3 linked regions of the Xenopus tropicalis genome follow. The main gene of each other region encodes a partner of the protein of the gene in region 3 in a complex. Links are inferred from orthologs where the notes say so. Each region holds a gene or a part of one and is shown on either strand. Other genes may lie near its edges.

The links.
Region 1: the proteins of tnni2 (region 3) and tnnc2 are in contact, whole or in part, in a crystal structure (PDB 1A2X), measured with the Oryctolagus cuniculus proteins. The link is inferred for Xenopus tropicalis from reciprocal best matches to the Homo sapiens genes TNNI2 and TNNC2. Residues at the interface, in NP_001076252.1 of Oryctolagus cuniculus: Glu5, Asn8, Arg9, Ile11, Thr12, Arg14, Arg15, Gln16, His17, Leu18, Lys19, Ser20, Val21, Met22, Leu23, Ile25, Ala26, Glu29, Leu30, Glu33; in NP_001076114.1 of Oryctolagus cuniculus: Ser13, Glu15, Met16, Ala18, Glu19, Ala22, Lys91, Leu96, Glu98, Cys99, Arg101, Ile102, Phe103, Arg105, Ile119, Phe120, Ala122, Ser123, Glu125, His126, Val127, Glu131, Ser134, Leu135, Asp138, Phe152, Met155, Met156, Val159, Gln160.
Region 2: the proteins of tnni2 (region 3) and tnnc1 are in contact, whole or in part, in an NMR structure (PDB 2MKP), measured with the Homo sapiens proteins. The link is inferred for Xenopus tropicalis from reciprocal best matches to the Homo sapiens genes TNNI2 and TNNC1. Residues at the interface, in NP_001139301.1 of Homo sapiens: Arg116, Met117, Ser118, Ala119, Asp120, Ala121, Met122, Leu123, Ala125, Leu126, Leu127, Lys130, His131, Lys132; in NP_003271.1 of Homo sapiens: Asn18, Glu19, Phe20, Ala22, Ala23, Ile26, Val44, Met45, Met47, Leu48, Gln50, Pro52, Glu56, Phe77, Met80, Met81, Cys84, Met85, Lys86, Asp87.

Annotation. Positions count from the first base shown.
Region 1 is NC_030686.2:19,701,108-19,711,888, reverse strand, and holds the start of tnnc2 (troponin C, skeletal muscle), read left to right. Parts: upstream 1-4,378; 5' UTR 4,379-4,444; coding exon 4,445-4,447; intron 4,448-10,781. UniProt on the Homo sapiens protein: Troponin is the central regulatory protein of striated muscle contraction. Tn consists of three components: Tn-I which is the inhibitor of actomyosin ATPase, Tn-T which contains the binding site for tropomyosin and Tn-C.
Region 2 is NC_030680.2:128,882,367-128,893,023, reverse strand, and holds the start of tnnc1 (troponin C, slow skeletal and cardiac muscles), read right to left. Parts: upstream 6,810-10,657; 5' UTR 6,789-6,809; coding exon 6,765-6,788; intron 1-6,764. UniProt on the Homo sapiens protein: Troponin is the central regulatory protein of striated muscle contraction. Tn consists of three components: Tn-I which is the inhibitor of actomyosin ATPase, Tn-T which contains the binding site for tropomyosin and Tn-C.
Region 3 is NC_030680.2:21,780,557-21,791,250, forward strand, and holds the start of tnni2 (troponin I, fast skeletal muscle), read left to right. Parts: upstream 1-4,506; 5' UTR 4,507-4,553; intron 4,554-6,634; exon of another isoform or gene 6,635-6,728; intron 6,729-6,840; 5' UTR 6,841-6,860; coding exon 6,861-6,871; intron 6,872-7,997; coding exon 7,998-8,001; intron 8,002-10,281; coding exon 10,282-10,323; intron 10,324-10,650; coding exon 10,651-10,694. UniProt on the Homo sapiens protein: Troponin I is the inhibitory subunit of troponin, the thin filament regulatory complex which confers calcium-sensitivity to striated muscle actomyosin ATPase activity.

The sequences.
Region 1 (10,781 bases), on a different chromosome or scaffold from region 3:
TCAGGGACTGGAAGGCTTCAAGGGCCACAGGAGGCCAACAATTGGGTCTCCCTCCTTTGCGGATGAGGGAAAGGATAGGAGCAATGCGGGAAGAAAAGCCTTTAATGAATTGGCGGTAATAGTTCGCAAATCCTATAAACCTCTGGATTGCTTTAGTATTCTGGGGGAGTGGCCACTTCTGGATAGCAGATACCTTGGCAGGATCCATTTCGAAGCCCCTAGACGAGATAATGTAGCCCAGGAAGGAGATCTTTAGTACTTCGAAAGTGCATTTCTCCAACTTGGCGAAAAGAGAGGTCCAGGAGGTCCCGAAAAATATCGTTTACGAACTCTTGGAAGACGGCTGGAGCGTTGCAGAGGCCAAAGGGCATCACGAGGTACTCGTAATGCCCATCACGGGTATTGAAAGCCGTCTTCCACTCATCGCCCTCTCGGATCCTGATGAGATTATAGGCCCCACGGAGATCCAACTTAGAGAAAATCTTGGCCCCTTTTAGTTGGTCAAAAAGTTCTGAAATAAGGGGTAAAGGGTATCTGTTCTTAACAGTTATTTTATTGAGACCCCGGTAGTCAATACAGGGGCGGAGTCCACCGTCCTTCTTTTCGACAAAAAAGAAGCCAGCTCCTGCTGGGGAGGTAGAAGGACGGATAAATCCACGCTGGAGATTCTCAGAGATATACTCCTTCATAGCAGCCGTCTCTGCAGGGGATAAGGGATAGGTCCGCCCACGGGGTGGCATGGTTCCAGGAAGGAGATCAATAGGGCAGTCATACCGCCGATGCGGGGGAAGAAACTCTGCTGACTTTTTACAAAACACATCAGAGAAGTCCCTGTAGACGGAGGGCAGAGTTGAAAGACTCGTAGAGGAGACTGTAACCCGCTGGAGTGGCTGAGGAATTAAACAATGTCTTTGGCAGTACTGACTCCAATGGGAGATTTGACCCGATGACCAGTCAATGGAGGGGTTATGGAGTCGTAGCCATGGCAACCCCAGCACAACAGGAGACGAAGGACATGGAATGATCAGGAATGACATCTTTTCCAGATGTTGTGCTCCAATCTGGACAGATAGTTCACCGGTGGTTAAAGTGATGGTGTCCGTGGAGAGAGGTCTGTCATCGATGGCGAAGACCCGAATAGGAGGAGTCACTGGAAAGAGGGAAATGCCAACCTTTTTTGCGAATGCCAAGTCCATAAAGTTTCCTGCAGCTCTGGAATCAAGGAAGGCTGAGACTGGAATTGCCTGGGAGGGCAATCGGATCTGCACAGGAACATGAAATTGGTGAGATTGTTCCGCTGACTTAGGAACAATACTACCAGCAAAAGAAACAACAGTCTTACTTGAAGCAGGAGTATTCCCCAGCTTGACAGGGCAGGAAACCGCTAAGTGGGATTGTCCGCCGCAGTACAGACATAGGCCGGAAAGGCGTCTCCGAAGCTTCTCTTGTGCAGATAGTTGAGCCTTCCCAAGTTGCATGGGTTCCTCCGAAGGGGAAGTGGTAAACTGCGGAGAAGACGGGGGTATCATAGGGTTCTGGAAGCGCGGAGCCAGGACTGGATGAGACTTTTTACTCCGCTCTTTATCAGCCTGATGTTCTTTAAGGCGAGTGTCTACCTTAATAGCGAGAGCAATCAAATCTTCAAGGGAGTCAGGTAGATCTCTGGATACCAGGTCATCCTTCAGACGGGACGATAGGCCTTGGTAGAAGACTGCCTTATAAGCCTCTTCATTCCAGGAAGTTTCCGCCATGAGGGTTCTAAAGTCTATGGCATACTCACTGGCACCGAGACTGCCCTGGCGGATTTGCAGCAGGCGTGAAGAGGCAGTAGCGACCCGACCAGGGGCATCAAAGATGGTTCTGAACATCTGTAGAAATTCCTTCACATCAAATGTCAGGGGTGACTGACTCTCCCAGAGAGAAGTTGCCCATTCCAGTGGTTTGCCCTCCAGACGAGACATAACGTAGCCCACCTTCGCTCGCTCACAGGAGAATTGGGAAGGTTGGAACTCAAACTGAATCTGGCATTGAGTCACGAATCCCCTGCAGGCCTGCGGATTGCCACTGTAGCGCGGAGGAGGAGGTATTCGTGGCTCACGAGCTGGCGACATCGCTGGCAGAGGAACCACCACAGCAGGAGGAATTTCCGCGACAGCGGGAGTAGCGGGCAAACGGGACAAAATGGAATCAAGTACTTGCCCAATTCTGACTTGCTGGGATTCATACGCCTCCATACGGGACGCCAGCCCGCGAAGGGCTCTTCCGACGTCCGGTACCGCTTCCTCGGGATCCATGGCCCGAGTATAATGTCAGCGGGGGCCTCCGGCACCCACGGGAGGGGTGAAGTCAGGATCAAGGAGGAAGGCCGCTTCCAGTGAGTCCGAGCGAAGTACAGATGCAGGATAATCCAATAGAGAGGTCAGGTTCAGGCAAAGGTCACTTAAGGCAGGCAGCAAGGTTCAAGGTCAGGAACAGGCAATTAAACAGCAACAGGAAAGCAGATGAGAATATTAGAGACCCAGGAACACAATAGGTATGTTGAGCTATACTCGGGCATTGAACCTGGGTCTCTGGCGTCCTTTGCGCCATAGCGCGTGACGTCATCGCGCCGGCGTCCTTGCGCCCACGTGGAGCCCTGGGCGCCGCCATCTTGGATTTGCCGCGCCGGGAGGGAGGACGCCGCCGCACGCCAGGTAGGGAGCGTCGCCGATTCATGACAGGCTTATTTTGAATTCCAGTCCAGGTCTGTGCTGGAGCCCCAAGGGGTGCAAAACTATGTACCATAGGACCCATCCAGGCCATATGGATTTAGTATGGATAGAGTTTCCTTCTGCCTTGCATCCCACTGGCACTCCCTAGTTTGCATGTCTGAAAGATGTAGCACACAACATGACCTTATGGATACAGTGCTGCCAAAAACAGGCAGTGGTGTATTCATAGGTATGCAGGTCCAGGTCCAGACTGAGATTCAAAATCGGCCCTGGCATTTCAAGGGCAGAGAGGCCCAAACAACCCCCACCAGCCCAAAAAATAGTGGGCTGGTGGTGTCTATGGCATCTTACTGCAGCCCCTCTGGCATTTGCCCGAATGCACAGGGCTTGCAGGCGTGATACAAGATGCAAAAGCTTTGCATATTTTGCATTATGTATTTATTGGTAGGGTTGCCACCTTTTAAAAATAAAAATTAAAGCTGGGGTGGGACAGCAACTAAAGGGGGGTGGTATAGAGTGGATGTAAGTGGAGACATTAGGTGGCGATTATGTTAGTATAGGCCAGGTACACACTTTTGGATTTTATGTTGATGATGCCCAGTCTGCAGCTCTCCAACTCTTGTTCCAAAATTCCCAGAAGCCTCTAAGTGCTGTAGATTATACACAATCGTTCCTGGGTGTCAGGTTCTCTGGTGGACTCTAGGAGGCCTACTCTAGCACTGATTAGATGAACATACAGAAAAAAAGATAAAGTTATTATAAAATGTGGGGTCAAGCAAATTCTAATTATGTCACAGCAAGTCCTGCTGAATGGTTTAGCTTTCTGGCACTGAACAGAATCTGCTTTTTTCGTTATCCAAAAAGCAGCCATTGTGTGTTCTGCATAAAGTAGAACTGTTTAACCTGCAGCACTTTAGTGTGTATTGAACTATAGCTCCCAGCCACTGGCTGCTGAAAATTGTACTTCAACAACAGCTGAAGGGCCACTGGCTGGGCCACACATGTGTTACTGATGCAACTTAAAACTGCTGGTCAGCTGGTCCCTACAGTATGACTCAGTTCAGTCACTCCTATTTGCACCCACTGAAAGGCAGCTCTATGCCTGTCCTGCAGTTCTTCCTGCCTCTGCCAAAGCCGTTTGTATGGAGCTTGCCTGCCAGTGCAATTGCCAATGGATTGCCCTGCTTCTTGTGCCACTGCTGGTCACGTTTGCAGCTGCTTCTCCTTCTAATCTGGTTCCTTGTGAAGGGAGGGTGGGTGGGCTGGGGGGATCATTTGATACTATTCTTCTCTGGCTCTTGCAGCCCTTGTCATAAATCCGGGGGATGGAAGTCTCTCGTGGGGAGGGAATGGATGGGTGGGGGGGTGTTTAGTGCTGGAAATTCCCTTTAACTATTTACAGTAAGAGGAGAACCATGTGTTCACACTCATCAGTGTCCCCTCCCTCTTTACCTGGTCTTTTATTTTTGTGTTGACTGCCCCCCCAGCACAAGCTAAATTTGGTAAAAGGCTTCTCCCTCCAATCAGGGGTAAGCTGGCATGGGATTGGGAGTGGGGGTGTTTTAAGTTAGTGGCATCCAATCAGGGCAGAAGGGGGAGCAGGTGTGTGAATGGGCACAGTACAAATTAGAGGGGGACTGTTTGTAGAAAAGCTTTGGGGGTCTGTACAGAAGAGGAAACAGATACCTCCTGCCATCCTTCTCCTCTGCAGGCATTTGGGGTGACCTGCCAAGATGGTAAGTGTCCCTGAGGTTGGGGGGGTGCGAACTGAAAGGCTGTATCCATCTGCATCCTACAAAATGACAAAAAAGGAGACAAGAGGTGCAATTGTGCCAAGTCTTTGGAGTTAAAGGGGGCAGTGGGGTCTTCTGTCATAAGAGATGGCAACTCTACCCAGAACTGCCGAACAAATCTCTAACATTGTGGCTACTCAGATATGAATGACATGCTGCCTCTGTCACCATTCCTTCTCTGATCATCCATCACCAGGGACATCAAGGAAGGAATGCTTTGTCACCAAGACCCGAGCCAGAGAGTGGCAAATGTCACAGCTTTATAGTGAGGTTCAAAAAGAAACTTTCATCACCTCTAGCTTGCCTGGACTGAACTAAACTTTACTGTGCCCTACAGATACAGTTCCTCTGCTACAATAGCACTTAATAAGAGGTGTTTTGTGCTACTACAAGTAATCCTATTGTGTTTATGATGAAAGAGTTTTAACCTTGTGTTAGATTTATTGAATTATTTGCTTTTATCTTGTAACTAATATTAAAGGGTAACTATAATATGGTAACAGTCAGGGTAGATTTTAGCTTTGCAGTTGCTATTAGATGGTTAATATACCTGATACCAGATTCTCAGGGCTTTCCCACGGACATAATATCAGTTTGGCTTTGTCGAACCTTATTTAGAACAAGAACTGGGTTTTAAAGAGCTGGCTCTAAAACTGGCAGGCTTTGTATTTCTGGCTTGGATAATGTCAGGATTTTAGGATTGGCTTTTATATTGCTGGACATCTATCCGCTACAGGCCCCAGCTACCACCCCCACAGATCATAAGAATATGCTAAGGCATTGGTTGGGTTTTATGCTTTCTCTGTCACTGGTTATTTTAAGACCAATAAAAGAGTTAACTCTTTCTCTGCTAGTGCCAGTGCACTGTGTGTATGGTTGCTAGGGGAACGTTCATAGTAGGGGCAGTAAAATGCACAGAATGCACAGAAACAAAGAATGCTTTAGCTTGTAAAGGAATTTTCTTAATTAATATTGTGCTAAGATCCATTTACAGACTGGCACAGTTCTGTTATTAGCTATGACACCCCATTGGCACAGGAAAGTATGAATTCTGGGCTACAATTATGCTTAATGCTGTGTATATGGTCTATAAAAACAGGAGGAATTTTCATGCCGGGTTGGGATATATATCTCTGGGGTGCCATATATGCTAAATGTGTGCTTGGCAGGAAGATCTGGTTTGCTTTTATATTTGTATGTTGGAAAATGTGCATTCTGTTTTTTTGCTGTGAAGAATGGGATTGGTGTAGGGGATGCCTCAAAAACATTAAATAGGAAAACTACAAAGTTTAAAACAAAAGTGTCCTGGCTGTGTTCCTCCATTTTTAATGATCTATAACTCCAAAAAATCACATTTGCGATTACTGGCTTGCATCGAATGTGGGTGGGGGGGAGTAAGAACTGGAGGGGTGCAGAAACAAAGTGAAGAAGGTAATAGCTGTAATATAAAGGTAAAAGAAAGTGCATAATGATATTGTATTTTGCAAAAAAGTGGGGTGTCTCTATAGTGGTTTGTAAAAGTTGCACCTTTTTTGGAGACTGAAAATAAATCCACATTTAGGTCTATATACTCTGACAGCTCCATATAGGTCCATATACTCTGAACAGGTTGTATATGTTGCATATTATATTAATGGCTACATATGCTCTTAAAGGAACAGTAACACCAAAAAATGAAAGTGTTTTAAAGTAATTGAAATATAATGTATTGTTGCCCTGCACTGGTAAAACTGGGGTGTTTGCTTCAGGAACACTACTATAGTTTATATTAATAAGCTGCTGTGTAGCCATGGGGGCAGCCATTCAAGCTGGAAAAAAGGAGAAAAGGCACAGGTTACATAGCAGATAACAGATAAGATATGACACCATTGTATTCTACAGGGTTTATCTGTTATCAGCTATATAATCTGTGCCTTTTCTTCTTTTGAATGGCTGCCCCCATGGCTACACACCAGGGTTTATATAAACTCTAGTAATGTTTCTGAAGCAAACACAAAACTTTTACCAGTGCAGGGCAGCAGTACATTATAGTTTAATTTCTTTGAAATATATAAATTTTTTGATGTTACTGTTCCTTAAAAGGATCCATATGGAGAGGAAAGAAAAAGTTCAGTTTAAAGGTAATGGATCAAACTTTCCAGGTGGTTCTAGATGAAAGGGTTCTAAGGAAAGAGATTCTCAAGGTTCGGTGTCAAGCTATTGGTTCCGTGTGAAGGTCCGGCAAGGTTTCATCTTTCCCACAAATATGTTCACACTTTCCAAGGAGCTTGGCTTCAGTTTACATCACCCTACTTCTCTCCCCCCCCATGCATAACTTGGTATCCAGCCAGACTTCTTACTTGCAAATTCTCCCACTACAAAGACCAGGGCAAAAACAGATTCTACCCTAGAGATCATTGCCTAGTAACATTGTCTTCTATTGGTTATGATTGTTCTTTAAAATCATCATATCTTCTATGGTGATCTTTTTGCAGTTGTTTACAACCAGCACCTTCTTTTTGCTTATCATAAAACAACAGCAGAAGGATGCTTTATGGCAAAATTTTCTAGAACCCCACTGTCCTATACCCAATGTGTTTTTTGGTCTCTTTTATGCCTCATAAATTTATATGGCATTTATGGACATTCCATTACTTACACAGGGGATATATACTCTCTGTGGTTGATGGGTCCAACAACAGCATTTTGACCTCCCTGCCTAACCTTCTCCTCTGGGTAGCTAGTCAATTCATTAGCTCCATATCTATAAAATGTTACACTTTCCCCTTTTCTCCATAGCTTCAAAAATAGAACTTTGCCTTGGCATTCTTCCACAGGGAAAGACTCATGTAAATTCCACAGACAGATTCCAAACTCTGATTTTAGTTAAGCCATCTTCTCAGGATGTTTTACTTAACAGACACTAACAATTTAAGCTAAACATTATTAAATAAATACCTACAAATACTGGCACAGTAGCAGTTTGGTTGATGTTTTGGCAACACAGATACACAATTACTCCAACCACAAAATAAATTCAGACCATGGGCCACAGACAGAAGCCACACACAGGCAAATATTAATACCATTAGAAAGAAAAAAACACAACTGTATTATAGATGTGTGTGAATAGTAGTATATCTATGTTTGCATTTTGCACTTTTATACCTGCTATGGGCTTATTCACAAACATCCACAGTCCAATACGCTCAAAATTTCTTCACCTTGAGTCAGTTTTTATCACTGTGATCCCAGCCATACAGCTGCCGGGACAAGTACCCTGGGCTTCACACATGGAGGAACAATAGGAAAACTCAACACACTAAAGGTGCCCATACACGTGAAGATCACTTACGGGTGGGTGATATCGGGGAACATGTAGGCAACAATGGCGGCAATGGGGCAATCTTTTAACCTGCCCCATCGGTCGGGCATTCCCCTCGTTCCTGCCCCTACACGGGCCAATAAGCTGCTGAATTGGTCCAAGGGACCGATATCAGCAGCTACAATCGGTCCGTGTGTGGCCACCTTAAATATACACCTACAGACACTATATTTGTATAGTAATGTGATGACCTGGGAAGGAACAGTGGGAATGATGCCAATAGCAGGTGGAGATGATAACCTCCAGCTATGGCTTTAACAGATTTAATAGGGAGATGTGTTTCTTATTATAATAACAATGGTGTAACTAAATGCCCATTTGAAACCCTCCTACTCCCCCCTCTCATGCTTACATCTAGCACCAGTGCAGAAAGGGCACCTGAGTTATGCCACTGGCAGTGAGGATAATAGCCTCTGGGGAATAGAAGGTATAGTAGGGAGAGACGGAGCCTATAGAACAAGTGGGGATAATAGCCTCTAGGAAGGGACTGTGGCGTCGCAGGTATAGTAGGGAGAGATGGCGCCTATAGAAGGAGTAAGATAATAGCCTCTGGGTAGGTACTGTGGATGTGGGATAGCAGGTATAGTAGGGAGAGATGGTGCCTATAGTAGCAGTGGAATAAAAACCACTGGGAAGGTACTGTGGCTGTGGGATAGCAGGTATAGTAGGGAGAGATGGTGCCTATAGTAACAGTGGGAAAATAGCCTCTGGGAAGGGACTGTGACTGTGGGATATCAGGAAAAGTTGGGAGAGATGGTGCCTATAGTAGCAGTGGGATAATAGCCTCTGGGAAGGGACTGTGGCTGTGGGATAGCAGGTATAGTAGGGAGAGATGGTGCCTATAGTAACAGTGGGAAAATAGCCTCTGGGAAGGGACTGTGGCTGTTGGATAGCAGGTATAGTAGGGAGAGTTGGTGCCTATAGTAGTAGTGGGGATAATAGCCTCTGGGAAGGGACTGTGGCTGTGGGATAGCAGGTATAGTAGGTAGAGATGGTGCCTATAGTAGTAGTGGGGATAATAGCCTCTGGGAAGGCACTGTGGCTGTGGGATAGCAGGTATAGTAGGTAGAGATGGTGCCTATAGTAACAGTGGGGATAATAGACTCTGGGAAGGCACTGTGGCTGTGGGATAGCAGGTATAGTAGGTAGAGATGGTGCCTATAGTAGCAGTGGGGGGATAATAGCCTCTGGGAAGGCACTGTGGCTGTGGGATAGCAGGTATAGTAGGGAGAGATGGTGAAGGGACTGTGGCTGTAAAGATGGGTGAGATGGCAACACTAACATTTTACATTATCACAGTAAAACCTAGCACCATTTTATTGATGCTGAACAAAAACTCACAGCACCCACTGACAGCTAAAGGAATTTTAGGGCTGCTGAGAGTTACATGTCAGCAGCTGATGAAGGACAATATATAGGTGAAGAAATTGGCACATTCTTAAAAAAAAAAAAATATTTTGTACTTGTGCAGTGACTTTTTCTTTGCTGTTTATATGGAGAATTTGAATGCAAAACTACATTATCAAGTTATAAATATGCATTTTATTAAACTGCAAAGGAATGTTCTGCGCACAGTATAATCTAAGCCCTCAGACTTTGCTGTTGTCTATGTAAGGAAGAATACATAGAATATAAAGACTTTTTATAAATAGGGTATACGGTCCCTTTAACCCCACCCTAAATTGAAATGCACGTGGTTAAAGCTACACAATTCTATCCTGTGTCTGTCTAAATCAGGGCACATTTTTTAGGGGAATTGGATCCACACAGTGGGAATGGGCATTCTTTGATCCAGGACGTGTTTGTGCTTAGAAACAAGCAGGGCATCATAGGGTTTGCAAGGCTCTAGCAGGGCGAGACTTCTTAACTATCGCTTCTATTCCTAGAGTGGGACAGCTGACTCCTCCAAGGATCTGGGGGGGGAACAGGTGCAGCTGCTCCTATCTATAGTTCAGGCAGGGGGTGGTGGGGTAGAAGAAGGGGCTTGGGGTGTTCTTGAATTGCACTTATTGTTAACCCATTGCATTACAAACGTTTGCACAGGGTATAATCACACGGCATAAAAAAGATTAAATGGAAGATAGAAAGGTTGGAACACAAACCAGTCATTTAGGCTGTCTGCTCTCTGGTAACTCTGTAATTTGGGTTATAATCGGTTCTGTTTAACGACTGACCCACACTTTCATCTTTAGAGTAGAGGCACACATTTGTTAAAAAGCATGCGATAATTAAGTCCCGATTCATCAAAGTATATTCGCATGCATTAAGACGCATATCGAATGTGCAAAAAAAAACCGCAAATCACAATGCGTTATTTACCTCACAAATATATCGCTCGCAGCGGGAATTAACTCAAGATAAACGCTCATCGTTAAATAATTATGAATGAATGAATGAATTAATTAAATAACACAAAGAACATTGCGTCTTAATTATGACACCTGTCCTTTTAGTGAATCGAGCGTTAAGTCGCAGAAAATAAGAAGCAATAAAACTTTTTAACGCATGCTATAAATAGCGCTCGTTTTATCGCCCTTTAGTGAATCGGGCCCATAATGTTTATCTTGGATTTGAGAGTTACTGACTGACTTTGTGAAAAAGGACACATTAAAAGCAGCAGAAACCCATAGCAACCAATAAGATGCTTATACCTGTAGGTTGTTATGAATTACTGCACCTGGGCAAATTTTATTACATAACCCCATCAACTGGAGAATGATGGGTGCAGGAATAATAAACATAATTTTTCTGTGTTCAGCAGTTGCCCCTTCCCAAGATGTAGATAGACATATGAGTTCACCACTCATGGAGATGACTCCTGTTTGAACTCACCGGTAGCCATGTACACAGAGAGCAATAGCCACAGGTTTACATTTAGGGCAGTGGTGCACAAGGAGATTAGTCGCCCTGCAA
Region 2 (10,657 bases), about 110 Mb from region 3:
ACAGCATTATTTATATGTATATGCCAATTTCCTTATTAGCATATACATTATCTGTTGGTGAGGCTTTTATTTACTTCACCAGTGGCCTGGATGCTAAAGGGAAACTGTAACCGTCAGCCAGAATTCTGGGTATTTTTACTCAGTGACAATGTAAAATGTCTGCGTATGGAACTAGGCCAAGCAAGGTGCTATAAGGGTATCCCTTAAATGTGGACCAGAAACTCAAACAATAATCAGAGAATTAAACCCCCACACACGTATTGTAGCATATAATATACCCTGTTTACTTGGGCAACTTTTTTTTCCCACACGCCTCTTTTATCTCACTATAAATACATTGTCAATGGGTGTTTTTTCTCACGCCTAGCAAGCAACATTTTTTTCAATTCAAAACTCATTAAGATCAATTCACCGCAGTTTCACAGAAAAATTTGCCAATGGGAAACGCAGAATTTTGCTGCAAATCCATGCCTGGTGGAAAAATCCGCTTATCACTAGTTATGTTACATAAACACTGACAGTTGTGAGGGCACAGCTTTGAGTATGAATGGAAAATTGCTTCTGTGTAGCAGTAAGGAGTGAGAGTTGCCATCTTGCTTGCTTGGCTATTGCATCTTCCATAATGAATATTAAAGGCACACAAAGCAAAATATTGGCGCAATTACCGTGTGTTTTTCCCACAATGCAGCACTTTTTTTTAATAATAGTGTATGCCCACAAAACACCATGTGTCATGTGTTCCCAATTCACTAGTGCAAGACAGCAGTTTTCAGTAGGGCTGGCCGCCTAACCAGGTATCCCTTGTGTCTCTTGGCATGTTATATGCTCAGACGTGGCTGGAAAAGTTAGTGCAGTAGTATAGGATATGCCTGGTTATGTAGGGGATAATGGCAGAGGATTTCTTGCAGAAAACTACCCTAGCCTAGTGCCTTTTTCACAGAAAATAAGCATTAGCCCAGGCCAAGAGCTAAGCAGTGTCGGACTGGCCCACAGGGATACCAGGAAAACTCCTGGTGGGCCCAGGTGTCTGTGGGCCCTCCTGCTTCTAACCATTTGGCCTAATTCATGGTCATTTTCTATTTCTCTATGGGAACAAATCGACTAAAAATATAAAAAACTATAGAGGTTGAGTGAGAAGGGGATGAAAAATAGTTTGAAGAGTGGGTCCACGGTCTAAGGTTTTCTGGTGGGCCCCTAGCATCCCAGTCCGACACTGGAGCTAAGCAATTAGTCACTGGGGGTTGCCAAACAAATTGTCACCCCACAGTGACTGTAGTTTCCTTGTCCTTTAATTTGAAATGCAATTTGTACTTTAGATTTGTACTATATAAATGTGACAAAGCTGAGGTAAACGATGTGGCAGCTGCCAGTCATAGAGCCAAAGGCCTACTCCAGCCCCACCATAAGAGGCTGCTAGGTTATAGCCACACCCTCAATTGTTTCTACATGGAAAAATTAACTATTTTGTTATAAAACCAAACTTGAGAGCCAGGAAAGCCATGAGCAAAGGAATATCACTACTGCTCAGCCAACCAGTGCTATTTCCTAGCTTGTGAAACACAAACAAATCCTGTCTGTAAGCGAGAAAAACAAAACAGCTGCTCTTTTATTGTTTTGGCCGGGCAGCGGCATAGCTATGGGCTTGGTGGGCACTGTATGGGGCTGGGAGACATTTGCCTGGTGCTGCTTTTGTATGCTTGGAGTAACCCAATCCATGTCCCTTGCAGGCTATTTATAAAGTGAAGATACAGGCGCAGGGAGAGAAAGATAAAGTATCCAATTGTTCCCATTTACACAGTGACAGTGGCATTTAACCTTAGGCCCTTTTATCTCCGCTGCACGCTTATCTCTGCCTCCATTATTGGTATTGTCATTCAAGTCTGAACCGAACACCAAATTTAGCTGAGCTCATGCATTGCCTTATGTAGGCATGAAGGTGTGGAGTTATTTGTACAAGAGGGGCTTATTACATTGCTCGGAAACTCAGTGCACAAAAAAGTGCCATGCATCACCCTCTTAGATCTCAAACCTGTGGCTTTGCAGCTGTTGCTGATCTACAATAGTCATTATTATTATTCTTCAGGGGATGCTGGGAGTTGTAGTAGAACAACAGCAGTAGAATCATAGCATAAAGGCCACTGCCCAGTTTTGGACGGTTCTTATGGGTTGGGCACATTATAGCATTAACAGAGAGCGGAACTTTGAAACATAAACTGAATTTTACACAGTATTTTTATACTAGTCTTAAGGGATAACCTTTTAGCTATACTTTAGCTACAACTCCCAGCATCATTTGTTGTTATTTGGTGCTAGAAAGCATATTAATACATCTGTCCCATTCTTGCAGGCAATAAGGTTAATGTCACATATAAATATAACAGACTATATAAGGGGAAGTCGTTTGCACAAGTTTAGGGTAACTTGCTGAATGGGGTGCCTAGCTGGCTGGAACTGCTGTTGCCTAGGAAACTAGAGCTGTCAGTTTCTGCCTCACCAGCTCAGGGTCTGTAAGGCAGAGAGTTATTGGAAAGTCCCTAATGCTTTGTGTAGTTTATCCTTCATTCTACCAGCCAAAATTAAAAAAGGGATTATAGATCTTCCCCATCACTGGCTAGCCTGTACTTGCAATGCCTTTTAAAAACTCAACCATGAATTTTACAAAATAAATTTGTCTACATTAATGTCCTTTTAAGGCTCTTCCGAATTAGAAGAATTCGGGACATGGCGGGCGCAGCCTGAACAATGGCTCTTTTTTTAGCCTACCCTTTTTGTAGCCTGAGTCGTTTTCATTTTTGGAATTGCACAGGACCCAAATAACTTCTGGGATTTGCCTCCTGTGTGCCGGGCAGTTTGTCAGGACAAATGGCTGACGTCTTTGGGCCAGAACAGCTGTTTGTGGATAATACAAGTGGCTTTGCATGGCTATTGTTCAGCATGTCTTGTATTAATAGCAGGAGGATTTGTCTGCTCTCTGGCTTGACAAGTAATTATCTGCACATAGGAAGGGGCCACTCTGTTAGTGCTGCCCCAGTTTTCTTTTCCGCTGATTATCTGCTCATTAAAGGACAAAGAAAGGTTAATACACTAGTGACAATGTGTCACCCCCATTGTACTAAATTTTTAACTTTTTTCCCATGTGTGGGGATCTTAAGGTGACCATACATTGTAAGATCCGATTGTTTGGCGAGATCACCAAGCAAGCGGATCTTTTCCCGATATGCCCACCTATGGGTAATTCGGCCAGGCCAAACAATCTTATTGTCATCGGTTCGGAGACCACATCAACAATCTGACCGCATCAAAAATCAAACCTACCCAATCAAGATCTGCCTGATTTCAGGCCAGGTGTCAGTCGGGAGGCCCGTCGTTCGTGCCCATACACAGGCAGATAAAATGCCAAAACGATCTAAAGGACCGATAGTGGCAGCTAAAATTGGCCTATGTATGGCCATCTTTACTCACTAAGCATCTTTTCTGGAAAATAATTAATTTTTACTAAAGTGCGGACATGAAAGCCTAAAAAAACCGCAAGGGAGCCTTGGGAAATACCACAAAGATAGATATGTGGGGGCTCAGAAAGTAAGATCCCTGGTGCAATTTTTATTAAACAGAAGCACTGGTCCTTAGTGATTTAAAGGAACAGTAACACCAAAAAATGAAAGGGCTTTCAAGTAATAAAAATATAATGCACTGTTGCCCTGCACTGGTAAAACTGGTGTGTTTGCTACAGTAACACTACTATAATTTATATAATAAGCTGCTGTGTAGCCACGGGGGCAGCCATTCAAGCTGGAAAAAAGGAGAAAAGGCACAGGTTACATAGCAGATAACAGATAAGTTCTGTAGAATACAATAGTGTTTTATTTGTTATCTGCTATGTGCCTGTGCCTTTTCTCCTTTGAATGGCTGCCTCCATGGCTACATAGCAGCTTATTTATATAAATTATAGTAGACTTTCTGAAGTAAACACACAACTTTTACCAGTGCAGGGCAGCAGCACATTATATTTTAGTTACTTTTATACACTTTCATTTTTTGGTGTTACTGTTCCTTTAACACACTAGATGGTACCTAACATATTGGTACAGCCCAATATATTAACCTTTCTTTATCATTTAAGCCTGATATTTGCTAGCTAATCAGGTAAACACTAGCCAGGCGGCAACCATAGGCTATTTCAGACTATGGTTATCTGTTAAGCCACTGGCTTTTTGATCTTTGGGGGGAGTTCAAGCCCCCACTTTGATATCCAACATTTGGTAACGACTCTCTTTAGCCTATAACAATTTGCTGACACATGAAAGCATTTTTGTATTTGTTATAGTTAGTAAGACACCCCAAACCTTACTCTGACTGGCATCTAGGATACCAGCTCATTGGTCTGGGTCAGAACCTTGCCTTAGGTGGCAGGAAGCAGCCAGTTACTAGTGGTGGCAAAAAGCCACCTCTGGTAACTTTAAAAACAGAATTTTCATGTTTTAAAATGAAAATTCAGCTCTGCCAGTGCAGAGAGTGTAATAGCACTGCATACCAATGCAGCCCCACTAGACCCACTCTGCTGCTAGAATTGTAAGCATGGAATGAGAGAGAGGGGCGGCATTGGCCTCAGCTGGCAGCAGCCCCAAGATCATATATATAGTGGGCAGGTTAGAAAATTCAAGGCAATTTAGGGCAAATTAGTGCATTGGTGCAGCCAATCAGATCAGCCCAATTTGGCCTGGCATGTAAGTGACCAAATCAGACAGACAGATATGCTCATTTGGTGACCATGCCAGAAAGTACGTTAATAAGTGTACAGTCAGCTTAAGCCCAAATAGATATTTTCAATAAATCTTACCCTTGAAAAGACGGACAGAAAGACAGAGATATATGGATGCTCTGGTAGATGGAGGGGCAGTATTTAAACAAACAAATGAATATACAGATAGACAGGCAAAATGCCCATTATCCCTGTAGAGTTTGTATAGCCCCACCATAAAGTCAGTGTGTATGTGTGGGTCAGGGGGGCGTTGGAGTGCTGTGCATGCAGCTGGTATATGCAGGACAAGGAGAAGTGAAGGACAGTGAGTGTGAGTGCAATGTGGCTCATTCTCTGTAATATAATTACTGCAAAGTACCTGTACTTCCATCTAAATCTCCTGATATCTCCAATAGTAGGACACTGTACACTCCCCTTCAAACTCAACATTGCATTAGGGGCATTACATGGTACCAACTCTGCAAGAGGGTTCTATACATGATGAAACATGCTGTATATTATTTCATACTGGCCCATTGTAGACTATGCCTGGCTATGATTTTTCACACTCCTGTTCAGGTCTGGAATGGGATACAAAATAGGCACTGGCATTTCAAGTACACAGAAGCCCAAACAGCCCCCACCAGCCCAATAAATAGTGACTGTCTATGGCACCTTACAGCAGCCCCTCTGGCATTTCCCAGAATCTACAGATTGCCAGTCTGAGCCTGCCCCTGGTAATGAGCTCTAGGGATGCACTGAATCGAGGATTCGGTCCGGGATTCCACCAAAATTTGGAGTTTTTCAGCACAATTCAGATTTGGCCAAATCCATTTGCCAAATTCAAATCCTTAATATCATGTGACTTTTCATCACATAAAGATGAAGTTTTTAGGCACACTCTGTGAGCACGGTTCTCTTTGTCCCATCCCTAGCCTCATTTGACTATGGAAATTAGGATTTGGTTCGGGATTCGGCTGAAAATTTCATGAAGGATTCAGGGTTTAGCCAAGTCCCAAAATAGTAGATTCAGTGCATCCCTATTAATGACATTTGGTATTTCAATATCCTCCGACCATTAATATGCAGAATGCAGCTATATGGGAAAATGATGCTGCTACAGTTTCATTGGCCCCCTGTGCGTTTAGGCCAGTACCAGTACCCTGCGGGATGTTGTATAGGTCCTTACTGAGCCCTACAGACCTGCACAAATCCCTAGATGATGCTATGTTACATATGCTATATTATTCATTATCTAGCACACAATTAAACCTGTCATAAATCTCTATTCATCTGATTAAAATAAGGCATTTACAGTTTCTATTTCAGAGATGTCTTCCCTGTGTTACTGCAGATAATGTGTAAGTTTATACAGAAAATGATTTACCCCTAATTGTAAACTATCAGGATATTAAAAGACACCTAGGAGATCCATGACCATACAGATTATACAGGTCATGAAGTTCTGGGGGACATTATTATAACATACATGTTTCAGCCAGTCATGTGACACAAGTATCATCATTAAGCACTGTTTAAGAGAATACATTTTAAATGTTCATAGTTATACTGTACATTTCCATTTTACATGAATATATGCAGCAACTGACAATATTTCCCATAGACAGCAGTCAAACAGCAGCAGAATCTGATTTGGGATCTGAATCCCATTTGTAAATGAACATCCCCAGTAATGCAGCTGAAGGAGCTCTACAAAGTATAATAACAAGGTGATAGAATCCTTTAAAGTTATTGTGCTTTGACCATATGAGCAGTCATAATTCATTGTTAAAGGTAATTCCTGTAACAATATGGTCAGTGCACAGTGTACTTAGTATATTAATATTTACAGGAATCTCACCCTTCCTAAAACCAAGGGAACTGAACAAGTTGTATACAAATGCCGATCTATATTGCAACCCCTGCATCAGCACCAACCCAGAAGGAGCCCCAGGAGACGGGCTGATGAGCGAGCTTTCAGCTGTAAGGAGTAGGTTAAAGAGAATGCAGAAAGTTGAGCACATACCGCTGCTTTGTAAATATCATCCATTGTGAGTGATGCTGGTCAGGAGCCCAGGAGCCAATTGTGCAACACTGGTGACAGCTGATGGCTCAGTTTATATACCCCCCCCCCCCCCCCCCCCCGGCACTGTTTGCTCCTCCTGAGCCACACGTCAGCCTTCCCCTATCAATGGACACTTTCCAGGACATCCCCTTGGGAAGACAAAAGAGCCCACCTCATGGTTTCAAGTGCATTTATTTATATACCCAGCAGGAGCTGTGTGGCCAAAGATTTCCTTTTTCAGAGATGGAGGCCACAGGTTGGTACTAACATATTCAATAAGGGAAATATCATCACTTCAAAACCATTTTATTCTTTTGTACTGTATGCTGTCCATTTATTTCTATATTCTGAAATAACTGTCAGATACATAGGAGCTGTCCGACCTGCACCCTCCCTGCTGCTTTTCACAAAACAGAGAGCAAAAACCCTTTTCTATAGGATATTTTTCCTTTATTTCATATATATAACATTTCATGCTGTTCCTGGTACCAGCTGTCTGTGCTGCATCCTCACCCCCCGTCTTGGCTAAAAGATAAATTCACTGCACGACTGAAAAGAGTTCTTTAAAGAGTTCTAAATGTGTCAAAACAAACAAAATGCTGGAATTCATTCTCAGAGTTTAGAGGGAATGCCATATGTTTTCGCCTACAGAAACACTGCTACTACTGACAGGTGCTAAAGCAAGTGTCTCTGAGCCGAGGCTACTGGTCACCGCCAGCATGTTTCCCATAGCTTGCTAAAGGGAGCAGTGACAAGATTTTGTGTGTTGTGACTGACACTGTCCTATACTATAGGCTTAAAGTTCTAGGGAAGAAAAACAAAAACTAAAGTAAAATGAATATATTAAATTGTGTGAAAACTATAGGATAATACTATAGGCACCACCTCTCCCTACTATACCTGCTATCCCACAGCCCCAGTCCCTTCCCAGAGACTATTATCCCCACTGCTACTATAGGCACCATCTCTCCCTACTATACCTGCTATCCCACAGCCCCAGTCCCTTCCCAGAGGCTATTATCCCCACTGCTGCTATAGGCACCATCTCTTCCTACTATACCTGCTATCCCACAGCCCCAGTCCCTTCCCAGAGGCTATTATCCCCACTGCTGCTATAGGCACCATCTCTTCCTACTATACCTGCTATCCCACAGCCACAGTCCCTTCCCAGAGGCTATTATCCCCCACTGCTACTATAGGCACCATCTCTCCCTACTATACCTGCTATCCCACAGCCACAGTCCCTTCCCAGAGGCTATTATCCCACTGCTACTATAGGCACCATCTCTCCCTACTATACCTGTTATCCCACAGCCACATTCCCTTCCCAGAGGCTATTATCCCACTGCTACTATAGGCACCATCTCTCCCTACTATACCTGCTATCCCACAGCCACAGTCCCTTCCCAGAGGCTATTATCCCCCCACTGCTACTATAGGCACCATCTCTCCCTACTATACCTGCTATCCCACAGCCCCAGTCCCTTCCCAGAGGCTATTATCCCCCCACTGCTACTATAGGCACCATCTCTCCCTACTATACCTGCTATCCCACGGCCCCAGTCCCTTCCCAGAGGCTATTATCCCCCCCACTGCTACTATAGGCACCATCTCTCCCTACTATACCTGCTATCCCACAGCCACAGTACCTTCCCAGAGGCTATTATCCCCCCCACTGCTACTATAGGCACCATCTCTCCCTACTATACCTGCTATCCCACAGCCACAGTACCTTCCCAGAGGCTATTATCCCCCCCACTGCTACTATAGGCACCATCTCTCCCTACTATACCTGCTATCCCACGGCCCCAGTCCCTTCCCAGAGGCTATTATCCCCCCACTGCTACTATAGGCACCATCTCTCCCTACTATACCTGCTATCCCACAGCCACAGTACCTTCCCAGAGGCTATTATCCCCCCCACTGCTACTATAGGCACCATCTCTCCCTACTATACCTGCTATCCCACAGCCACAGTACCTTCCCAGAGGCTATTATCCCCCCCACTGCTACTATAGGCACCATCTCTCCCTACTATACCTGCTATCCCACAGCCACAGTCCCTTCCCAGAGGCTATTATCCCACTGCTACTATAGGCACCATCTCTCCCTACTATACCTGCTATCCCACAGCTACAGTCCCTTCCCAGAGGCTATTATCCCCCCCACTGCTACTATAGGCACCATCTCTCCCTACTATACCTGCTATCCCACAGCCACAGTCCCTTCCCAGAGGCTATTATCCCACTGCTATTAGATTGCCTGCACAGTCAAGAGGAACATTTGCAGCCCATTACTTTTTAATAACTTTTTAAAAATACAACTATTTGTGGGGGCATGTTTATGTTGCCCTAGGCTAATTCACACTCAGGTAGAATGTTTGTTATTAGGCTATTATCCCACTGCTACTATAGGCACCATCTCTCCCTACTATACCTGCTATCCCACAGCTACAGTCCCTTCCCAGAGGCTATTATCCCCCCACTGCTACTATAGGCACCATCTCTCCCTACTATACCTGCTATCCCACAGCCACAGTCCCTTCCCAGAGGCTATTATCCCCCCACTGCTACTATAGGCACAATCTCTCCCTACTATACCTGCTATCCCACAGCCACAGTCCCTTCCCAGAGGCTATTATCCCCCCACTGCTACTATAGGCACCATCTCTCCCTACTATACCTGCTATCCCACAGCCACAGTCCCTTCCCAGAGGCTATTATCCCACTGCTACTATAGGCACCATCTCTCCCTACTATACCTGCTATCCCACAGCCACAGTCCCTTCCCAGAGGCTATTATCCCACTGCTATTAGATTGCCTGCACAGTCAAGAGGAACATTTGCAGCCCATTACTTTTTAATAACTTTTTAAAAATACAACTATTTGTGGGGGCATGTTTATGTTGCCCTAGGCTAATTCACACTCAGGTAGAATGTTTGTTATTTAGTAATGCATAAATGCCAAGGTCACAGAGGGCATAAGCCAGTCATTGAATAGCCCCAGGTATGGCTTTTCCCAGACAGGTTATAGTAAGTACCAAAGTCAAGCCACGGTCAAGGTAGGCAGAAGAATATCAGAGCAGGAATGGGTCAGTAGTCATAAGCTGGTGCAGGTTGGGGTAGTATGAGAGTAGTGCACAGGTGGATATTGGAAATGTAGGAATCAGAACAGCAGTTAAACTGAGTCCGGAACATAAAATAACCATGGGCATTAAAGAGCAGAAAACTATGAGCTACAAAAGGCAGGCACAATGTACTTGCTTGGACTTGATCTTTATATTGTCTGTGCTAAAAGAACCAAAAGCCATTAATTGTATCCAAGCATTCTACAGAGAGGCCTGACATAAGGCCGGAACATTTAGTGTCTCCATAAATATTAATATCTGTGTAGTTATATGCTGTTCAGGCAAGTCTTGCACTACATTGACTTGCCAGACACATTTATTTACATCTTATCTCTATTACTTATGAATCCATATTGCTCCTGGCAAAACAAAAGCCAAGTTCATCAAAGATCCATAACCAGCAGACAATGCATTTACTCATTAACTTAGCCCCCAATTCTAATGTTTGTAATATAATGCATGGTATCTGTATTGAATTGTACTGTACAGTCCTTATATAGAGCTGCACTGCACAAAACTACCCAGGCAGGCCTCAGCTAAGGCAACATATACATTGAGGCTGAACACAGCGGAGCCAATTGCAAACACACTGCAATAAAAACCGAGACAGCAACTTCAAAGAAAACTGTTTTTTCTATCCATGAGAGAGATATAAAACCTATTACATTCATTGCTGGTGTTACCGGCCCTTTCATTTACAAGAAAAGCTCAGTTTGGAGTTCAGGGA
Region 3 (10,694 bases):
ACCAGGGGGTGAGGGGTTAAAGTCACTAGAGGAAAGGGTTAAGCCTCCCATCTGCCAGTGACCCATTACAGGAGCAATTTGATGTCCTGAACCTGCCTGGAACCTGGATAAACCTGCAAGTCCCTACGGATATTTGGCCGGCCTTCTCACCACTAATAATGGGTCCCGTACCTCTATATACAGGTACGGGACCCATTATCCGGAAACCCATTATCCAGAAAGCCCCGAATTACGGGAAGCCCATCTCCCATAGACTCCATTATAATCAAATAATTAAAAATGTAAAAAACAATTCCTTTTTTCTCTGTAATAATAAAACAGTTCCTTGTACTTGATCCCAACTAAGATATAATGATTCCTTATTGAAGACAAAACAAGGCATGGTGATCCAAAATACAGAAGGACCTCTTATCCATAAATGTCCCAAACATTGTGGATAACAGGTCCCATAGCTGTAGTGCTATTTAGTTATTCAGTGCTTGGTTTCATGCAATGGTTGCCAAGGGCATTAAACATCATTATATTCACCCTTGATTACAGCGCAATAAATTGTAAATATATAACTATGAGCGGTCACCCATGATTTGCCATCACTTCTTGCAATCAAAATGACAAACGTACAGTATAATATTAACAGTTATATAGGGCGAGGAGGCCCCAGGAAGATTAAATAGCTCAGATTAAATACAACAAATTACTTCTTATTGAAAAGGATCTCTTGCAACTTTTTTTAATTGGGGGAAGGAATAGAGGCAGAGGGTTTATGTCCCCTTTATTCTCTTGCCCTGTATGTAACGTACCAAGTAGCAGCTCATGTAATGAACAAGGAAGAGCCAATGTGTGGGTGGAGATGCCCCAGCCTCAGCGCAGCCGCGGGTTATTTAAATTATAATAAATCTGTGATTGTAAATGTTCTGTATGTTTGATTTTCCTTTCATTCTGTATAATGTTAGATAAATAAATATAAATGTTTGTATCTCTCAATATATGTATGTTTTGCTGTGTGTACATACTTGGCCAGCAACCAAGCGTTAAGGTGGCCATACATTATACGATTATACAGATCTTTCCCTGATGTGCCCACGTAAAGGTCCCCATACACGGGCCGATTGTAGCTGCCGATATTGGTCCCTTAGATCGATTCGGCAGCTAATCGGCCTGTGTAGGGGCAGAAACAAGGGGCCTGCCCGACCGATATCTGGCCTGAAATTGGCCAGATATTGATCGGCCAGGTTAAAAGATTCAGTCGGATCGAGGACCGCATCGGCTCGTTGATGCGGTCCCTGAACCGACTGCCCCATTGCCGCCAATATAATTCGATCGTTTGGCCCCAGGTCCAATCGATCGAATTAGCCTCCATGTATGGGGACTCTTAGGTGGTTGATATTGGGCTAATTTAATCATTTGTCCCTAGAAAGACGGAGATAGGAGCAGCCAGAGCGACGGGAAAATCAAACATGTCTGACTGACATCTGTCCAATTTTCTGTCCAATTGGGTATATTAAATCAAGGGCTAAAGCATCATGGGAGCTGTAGTCTAAGCACCTGCTGAGGTGGATCCTTTAGTATCTGTAACTACGGTTGGCATGCCAATTTTCGAGAGCTAGGGGGCGCCAGAAGAGGCCGATTTAGGGATAATGTAGGGGCACTTTACTGAGCCGTTCCCTGGAAACAGGTTTGGCTGCATATGTGTATAATGGTTTCCCACCCTTTTGTGTTTATCATTTTACATCTAAATTGAAGGGCACAAGCTTTGTCCTGTATTTATTCAACCGAACCGCTATTCCATACCTGATTAACAGGACATACGTCTTATTCGCAAAAACCCGTTGCACCAGCTGATTTAGTGGGGCATATAGGGGGTCATTTAGCAACGTTCCCAATATTGGAATTATGGTTAAAGAACTTGTATGTTGGATATTTCTTAAGTGCAGAAAACTCAGCGTGAAACGCGGCATCTAAAAGATGTGAGTTTTCAAGCCATTTTGAGTTTTTCGAGCTCAGAAATTTGAGGAGTTTGAGTTTTTTACGGATTTTGATTTGATAAAGTTTTTTATATACAGATTTTTTTTATACATAAACAAACATTCAATCATTTTTTATTCAATTAGACCTCTACTTTCTCCCCACGTCCCCCCAGTCACTGCATATAAGTTAACCAATCACATTTAACTTTCAGTATCATTGTATCCAACTTACTTTGAGGTGTGAGCACAGTTCTACTTATATTAACACAACTACCCCAGGCACAACTCCCCCTGGTGTCCCCAATGACAATGCAATTAAGGTGGGAAAACGCTGCATTGTGGGAAAAAAAACACAGCAATTGTGATAGAAATTAAACTTTGCACTAGTGGTCATAAATGACCCCTTATTACTTTAAGCAGGGGGGTGGTGTGTACGAGAGGGCGGGCTGATGACATTGGGGGCGTGGTCAGGACACTATGGGGGTGGAGTTCTGCCAACCCAGGCCACAGCTAGGGAATTAGTGAGTAGTGTGGGGTAGAGGGATGGGCTGGGAGAGGGATTTGGAGGCAGGTAGGGGGCGGTGCAGGGCCAGAGGACTAGATATTACAAATTTACAGCAAGTACATTGCTAGTAAATATGTAATCCTGGCCCTGGCCTTGGTTACTATTTTGCCAGCTTGGCCGGTGAAATACTAGCTGGGTGGCAATCCTACAGGGTCCTGACTCAATGTAGAGCCTTGATCACTAGATTGGTAAAGCCATAAAAAACCTACAAATCGCAATTTAATTTCCTATGCTTTATTAGCTAAATATAAAGAGGAAAATGACTGTGGTTTATATGAAGGGCAACCCTTACCTCTTCTATGCCCAGGCTTTCCCCGCCAAGGAGGTTAACCACCTGCCAGCAACGTAGAATCGACATTTCCAGGTTCAGTTGTGACTGTGAAAAAAGCATTACGAGAATGGCCCGACATGGAAAGAGTTAAAGCAATACCCATGTAGATCAGTTCTGTCCAGCTGTTTTCATGCAGCAGAATAAATGTTTTACAATAGCACCACTTTGGGCCTTTTTATGGGTTCCTTAGCGCCTTGTCTTGTTCTGCCTTAGGGCTATGGCACACCCATAGGTGATTATTGCATTGCCGGGCACTGGCAGGGATATTACTAGTAGAATAACTATAGAAAAGGCAGACCCTGCTGAGGGGGGTTGTGGGTGGCCCTGGGGACCTGGAATGCAGGGTGTTCTTCTGTAATGGCAGAGAATCCCACCTCCCTGAGAGCGAGTGGCGGGGAACAAGGGAGTGGCTGGGTATGGGTGGCAGTGTGCATCTATGGAGGGGCCATTGCAAGACAAAAAGCCCAGATAATACGCCAAGTGCCTTAGCACTGACTAATATGCCTTTTTGGGAGGCTGACAGGGCCAGAATGTGTGCTCTAGAGCAGTGGTTCCCAACTTTTTTTGCACCACGGACCGGTTTCAAGCAAGACAATTTGTCCAAGGACCGGGGATGGGGGGTGCGGCGCAACTAGTGCTAGTTAAATTTTATATTATGCACTTTACTATTAATATTATTATTACATACAGCTTAATAAAGTACTTTGGTCCTTGTCGTAATCAGTAGAAATCTTCCTGGGCTTCGAATAGCTATTGTCATGGCTGTGTAAAGCATCAGGGAGTTGGGATCACAAGTAATATGGAGCAGTGGTGGCCCATTTCAGCACAGCCCACGGCCCGGCACCGGTCCCCGTACCGGTGGTTGGGGACCCCTGCTCTAGAGGAGCCGGTGTGGTCCAAAGTGCCAGCTTGGTGCCCATGAAATGCTATTTTGCATCATGTCCAGTAGAGGTCAGCACCACCCTGCTGCTTTTCTGTATGTGGGCAGTAATACAGGAATGCCCTGGGTGAGCGAATTCCTTAGCCCCCAGCAGGATTACAGGCCAGAGGACTATCTGTGTGTCTGCTAGAGACGAATAAACCCCAAACAATTAGAAGAGAATGCTGAGATAGCCTGCTGTGGGGCGGGAGGAGCGGAGAGACAGGTGTGAGGGTGCATTGGGTGGGACCTTTTTAGAAGAGAAAGCTGCTAGGGATAAGTTGCATAGCTGAGATTGAAAAGGGTACTAGCTGTTTTGGTTGGGGGGGATAAGTAAGAGGGAAGTATCTGCTTTGGGAAAGTAATGGGATCTGCAGAGAACAGCACATTAACCCTTTAGTGGCTGAGATGCCTCCTACTTTAGATTTGTATCTCTAGACCCTCCCAGAAGGTTAAGCGCACTGCCCATACCATGCTCCCAGTGCCATGACAGTAGGCATTTGGGGGCCAATGTTATTTAAGGAATGCCCCACTGTTCACAATGCTGACCACCAGCAGATACAGGGTTAAGTCTTAAGATGGGCTGCAAGGGAGGGTCAAAGTATTTGTGTCACCCGCCTCGTGATTGGTCGGAGGTTGTTTGCATGCCCTTACTGAGCCAGGCAGCTTTTACCCCTGGGCACCCCCCCAGCACATTAATACCCCCCTCACAACACAGCGCTGCCAGTCCCACCCCTGCTTCATAGAGAGGGCTCAGTCTACGAGGGTCAGGTAAGGAACAGCCCCTGGGGGGCAAAGGCAGAGGCATGTGTATATACAATAAATGGATTTCTGTCTGTCAGTACAGTATGTGCATGAGATTAATTAGGGTCCTGCCTGGGCAACTTGCAGCCGAGATCTCTGCCTATACACAAGCCCCCTATCCCCCTAGCTCATTCATTACACTGTTCAGCCCACTATAAATAAATTACCTACATTTATTATAACCTATTCAGTCATACATTCTCTGTGCTTTAAAACAACAAGCTACAGAATTCCCTGTAAAACAAGAGTTAATATTTAACATTTACTTACATTACAACCTCCATTCACAATAGCAAAACCCAACCGGGGAGGGGGGATTTAACACCACGACCCTATCGTGAGAATTTTAATTGAATTTGTATATATTAACGATGCCAGTGAACTTCATGTATTGCGCAAATATTGGCAAGCACACAATTTTATCTACGTGCTTTCAGCAGCCTCGGTTCCACATATATAGATATAGTATGTTGGGGAAAAATCATTATTTTATAGTCATTAATAACAATTATATGTAATAGATCCCTGCCAGAGTTTAATGAGTGTATGAATGTACATTTAAAGTAACAAATTATCTGTGTATTTGTATTAACTGCTTAGAATTCCCGGCATTTACAGTTTAACCTGAAGGGAGGGGATGGCTGTTAATTAAAGAGTTAACAGACCATTCTCCACCGATTCCCTTTCTCTTAAACACACTTCACTTGTATAGATTTCTATTCAGCATTTGATTATCATGCCCCATAGTCTCTGTACAGAGCAACAAGGCTGCTCCATGCTCGGTACCATTATAGAATGTTGCTTAGTTATTGTTTTTAAGTGTTATGTTGTGTAGTAGACACTTACAATGACCCATTTTGTGCATGGAACCCATACCCACCCATTTGGAACTGATGTTTAATTCATTACAGGACCCCCTTTTGTAGCATGAAACATATATATATATTCCTGATAGAACCTATAGATACAAATGTATTAGATGGAACCATATATGTAGAATAAGTAAGGGTAGGGTACAACAGACTAGCTGCCAATATATTTTTTATATATATTTATATAAATATATATATATATACAGGCATGGGATCCCTTATCCGGAAACCCGTTATCCAGAATGCTCCGAATTATGGAAAGCCCATCTCCCATAGACTCCATTTTAATCAAATAATTCAGAATTTTAAAACTGATTTCTTTCTTCTCTGTAATAATAAAACAGTACCTTGTAATTGATCCCAACTAAGATATAATTACCCCTTATTGGAGGCAAAACAATCCTATTGGGTTTAATTACTGTTTTATTGATTTTTTAGTAGAGTTAAGGTATGGAGATCCAAATTACGGAAAGACCCCTTATCAGAAATACCCTTGGTCCCAAGCATTCTGGATAACGGGTCCTATACCTGTATATATATTATATATATCTCTCTTTTAACCCCAACTATGGGCCTGCTGAGCCCTATTGTTCTACCATGTATGCCTGTGCCCAAAGACTTACCACTACTCTTTCCCTCATTGCCCCAATTGGCATTGCTTCCCAGCCCATGGTTCGGTGAAAGGCTAGATTTGGGAGATTTTCCTAATTCCGGAGGATTTGTGCCCAAGTTGCCTGTGCTGAAAGAAGGAGATATTTGGAAATATGACCTGCGTCCGCCACCACTGATTGAGAACCTTGGTTTCAAGCATTATTATAATATTCCGCAGCCTACAGGCTGTAAATCTGGGGCAAATATTACTCAGCATTATAGGGCATTGAGTGGCTTTTATTTTAGCATCTGAAATGGGACCCCCTGAGAGTCAGCGCATGAATGCGAGGAAAGGGAATGAACACATGGCTAAGGTTTCTTCACCTGTGACCTCATTCATTAGAAGGGCCTGGCAAGGAGGGATCCATAGAGAAAGGGTGAGACAGCTGTCATGCCTTAAAGGCTCCGTGGGATATTTTCGGAAAGTCTTGCAAAGTTGCTGATATCTCCAAAGGGGATCAGATGACTTCAAATAGGGTGGCGGGGTGTCCCATCTCTGCTCCCCCTGCCAAGGTTCTATTTAGAGGCCGGCCAGCGGTGGCAGAGGAAGGGACATCCAAGGAGCTGAGTTCATTGGGGAATTTCAGACTAATCCTTCCATCAGTCTGTGCCTAGGCTGGTATGTGAGCGGGGCTCAGCGTGTTCCTTACAGGGATTCTTTGCCAAAGAGTTATATCTTGGGGGGCAGGACTTCATGTGCTGAATTTTGTGTCTTTGTGTTTTGTGCTCAGGTATCACAGAAACCGCCAAGATGGGTGAAGAGTGAGTAAAAACCTCTTTGGGTCAAACCATGTTCTCTCTGTCTGTCTCTATATTATATCTGACTAGTATCTGTCTTATTCTTTCTAATCTATCTGTCTATCTATCTATCTATCTGTCTATAATCTATCTATCTATCTATCTATCTATCTATCTATCTATCTATCTATCTAATCTATCTATCTATCTATCTATCTATCTATCTATCTATCTATCTATCTATCTATCTATCTATCATCTATCTATCTATCTGTCTATAATCTATCAATCTATCTATCTATCACCTATCTATCTAATCTATCTATCTATCTATCTATCTATCTATCTGTCTATCTTCTATCTATCTATCTATCTATCTATCTGTCTATCTATCTATCTATCTATCTATCTATCTATCTGTCTGTCTTCTATCTATCAGGCATATATCTGTCTCTATTAACCTACTATCTGTTAATCTGATATTAATCTATCCCTCCATCTATCTCGGTAACGTTGAATATCGCGCATATATGGCTATCACTTATAATTAATGTTATATGAATCTAAATTCAGCTCTCTGTCTATGGTATTTAGATACAGTAGGCATAAGTCCATTCTCCTTTAAACAGATTGTAAGGTATTAGGCCAAGCTTATTGGCTGCTCAGAACATTATTATATTATGGAGGAAATGTAGCAGCAAGTCTATTTTGCTCCAGGTCTAGTAACCTATAGCAACCAATCGGCAGTTAGCAGATGGAATTGGTTTAATGCAGATGGAATAATGAAAGGAAACATCTGATATGTTGCTACAGATCACTACAGCTCTTTCAGTTTTTACTATATTGTGGACCAAATTAGATCCCTAATTAGAATATTTAGATCTGAGCTCAACCAACAAAAGAGCATTATGGGTAAACAAACATGTCCAGGGCTTTAACATAACATAAATACTTATACATTGTTGTCTATTCAAGGAAAGATATGGTACCCTTATACAGTGTAGGTCAAACTGTGTCCCCTATACACTGAGAGTATGTACCATTATATGTTCTTATTGTATTGGCTCTATAAGTTATAGGCAGTGCTGTGTCTGTCTTTCATTTCTAACCTCTTCTTTTTTATTTCCCTTCTCTTTTCCCCTCTGATTAGTGACGTAAGTTACTCTTTTTCCTTTCATTATGGCGCATGTTGTGACAATGTAGGGGCAGCCTTTACTGAGCTAAACAGACTTTACCATGACCCAGACTTACAGATAGATAGATACATACAGGCATACAGGCAGACAGTGTCGGACTGGCCTACCAGGATACCAGGAAAACTCCCGGTGGGCCCAGGTGTCAGTGGGCCCCTTTTGCTTCTATCTATTTAGCCAATTTCATGGTGATTCACTGTTTCTGTGTGGGAACAAGGAAGCTTGATAGATGGAAGAATAGAGTATAGTATGTAGAGAAAAGAGACTAGGATAATAAAGTGTTTGAGGGAGGAGAGTTGGAATTAAAGTTTTGAAAGTTGGCCCATGGTCCAGGGTTTTCTGGTGGGTCCCTGCCATCTCAGTCCGACACTGCAGGCAGATAGATATATGTAGTGAGTACTATATAATATTCAATAGAGATATGGTTAAAATAAGAAACAGCTGAAATTTCCTTAGGCCAGGAACACTAGCATCTTGTTCCACCAACCGTGAACATTAATATGGAGCACTTTTGCTTTCAACTTCCTTGTCCTGACTGTCTTCATTTTTGTCCCTGCTGCCCTTTCTATTTTAAACACAGATCCGTCTTACAGGTTATTAGTCCCATTACTACTATGAGAATAATTTCTTCTTACTCTGCCTGAAATCAGAAAGGCATTGTCCCATACCAGGCTATCATCCCACAACCATAGTCCCTTCCCAGAGGCTATTATCCCACTGCTACTATAGGCACCATCTCTCCCTACTATACCTGCTATCCCACAGCCCCAGTCCCTTCCCAGAGGCTATTATCCCCCCACTGCTACTATAGGCACCATCTCTCCCTACTATACCTGCTATCCCACAGCCCCAGTCCCTTCCCAGAGGCTATTATCCCCCCACTGCTACTATAGGCACCATCTCTCCCTACTATACCTGCTATCCCACAGCCCCAGTCCCTTCCCAGAGGCTATTATCCCCCACTGCTACTATAGGCACCATCTCTCCCTACAATACCTGCTATCCCACAGCCCCAGTCCCTTCCCAGAGGCTATTATCCCCCCACTGCTACTATAGGCACCATCTCTCCCTACTATACCTGCTATCCCACAGCCCCAGTCCCTTCCCAGAGGCTATTATCCCCACTGCTACTATAGGCACCATCTCTCCCTACTATACCTGCTATCCCACAGGCACAGTCCCTTCCCAGAGGCTATTATCCCCACTGCTATTATAGGCACCATCTCTCCCTACTATACCTGCTATCCCACAGGCACAGTCCCTTCCCAGAGGCTATTATCCCCACTGCTACTATAGGCACCATCTCTCCCTACTATACCTGCTATCCCACAGGCACAGTCCCTTCCCAGAGGCTATTATCCCCACTGCTACTATAGGCACCATCTCTCCCTACTATACCTGCTATCCCACAGCCACAGTCCCTTCCCAGAGGCTATTATCCCCACTGCTATTATAGGCACCATCTCTCCCTACTATACCTGCTATCCCACAGGCACAGTCCCTTCCCAGAGGCTATTATCCCCACTGCTACTATAGGCACCATCTCTCCCTACTATACCTGCTATCCCACAGGCACAGTCCCTTCCCAGAGGCTATTATCCCCACTGCTACTATAGGCACCATCTCTCCCTACTATACCTGCTATCCCACAGCCCCAGTCCCTTCCCAGAGGCTATTATCCCCCCACTGCTACTATAGGCACCATCTCTCCCTACTATACCTGCTATCCCACAGCCACAGTCCCTTCCCAGAGGCTATTATCCCCACTGCTATTATAGGCACCATCTCTCCCTACTATACCTGCTATCCCACAGGCACAGTCCCTTCCCAGAGGCTATTATCCCCACTGCTACTATAGGCACCATCTCTCCCTACTATACCTGCTATCCCACAGGCACAGTCCCTTCCCAGAGGCTATTATCCCCACTGCTATTATAGGCATCATCTTTTCCTAGTATACCTGCTATCCCCCAGCCAGAGGTTGTTGCCTGTATGCCAGTAATAAAAATGATTAGGCAAAATGTGTAAAAACAGGTCATGTGGAAATGGGCTAATTGGAATAATAATAGTTTTTTGTAATGAAAAGTGACATTTCATAATAAAATATAGCTGTTGATTTCTGGAAAAAGAGAATGATAGATTGATTGGATGTTTGAGAGTCAAAGATTTCTTTATGAAATTGGGGATTACACTTTTCTAACAAAAAAAATGCTAATAATTTTTTCATTTATGTTTCTGCAGAAGAAATCCAAGATCTCCAATACTCGCAAAACCCACCTGAAGGTAAGTTATCCATAAAAACAAAACAGTCAGGCCCTTATGCCTCAAAACAAAGTCCTGTATGGGCCTCCATAAATTATATAGGCACAGAGTGAAGAGAAATGTTCCTAACATGGCTCTCATACACCATGCCTGTACAATTCTCAACATAGTGAACTTATGAAGACCCCCGTGATTCTTAGTGGCTATTGATGTAGAACTTTTTTTACTGTTCCTTAGTCCCAAGAACTCTACCACAACCATAAATGCACACCAGCTATCCTCCCAACGCTGCTTTTTAGGTTCTTCCCACATCACATTGTTCTTACTCCTCTTCTCTTGTATGTGCAGAGCTTGATGCTCCAGGTGGCCAAAACTGCTCTTGAGAAAGAAGA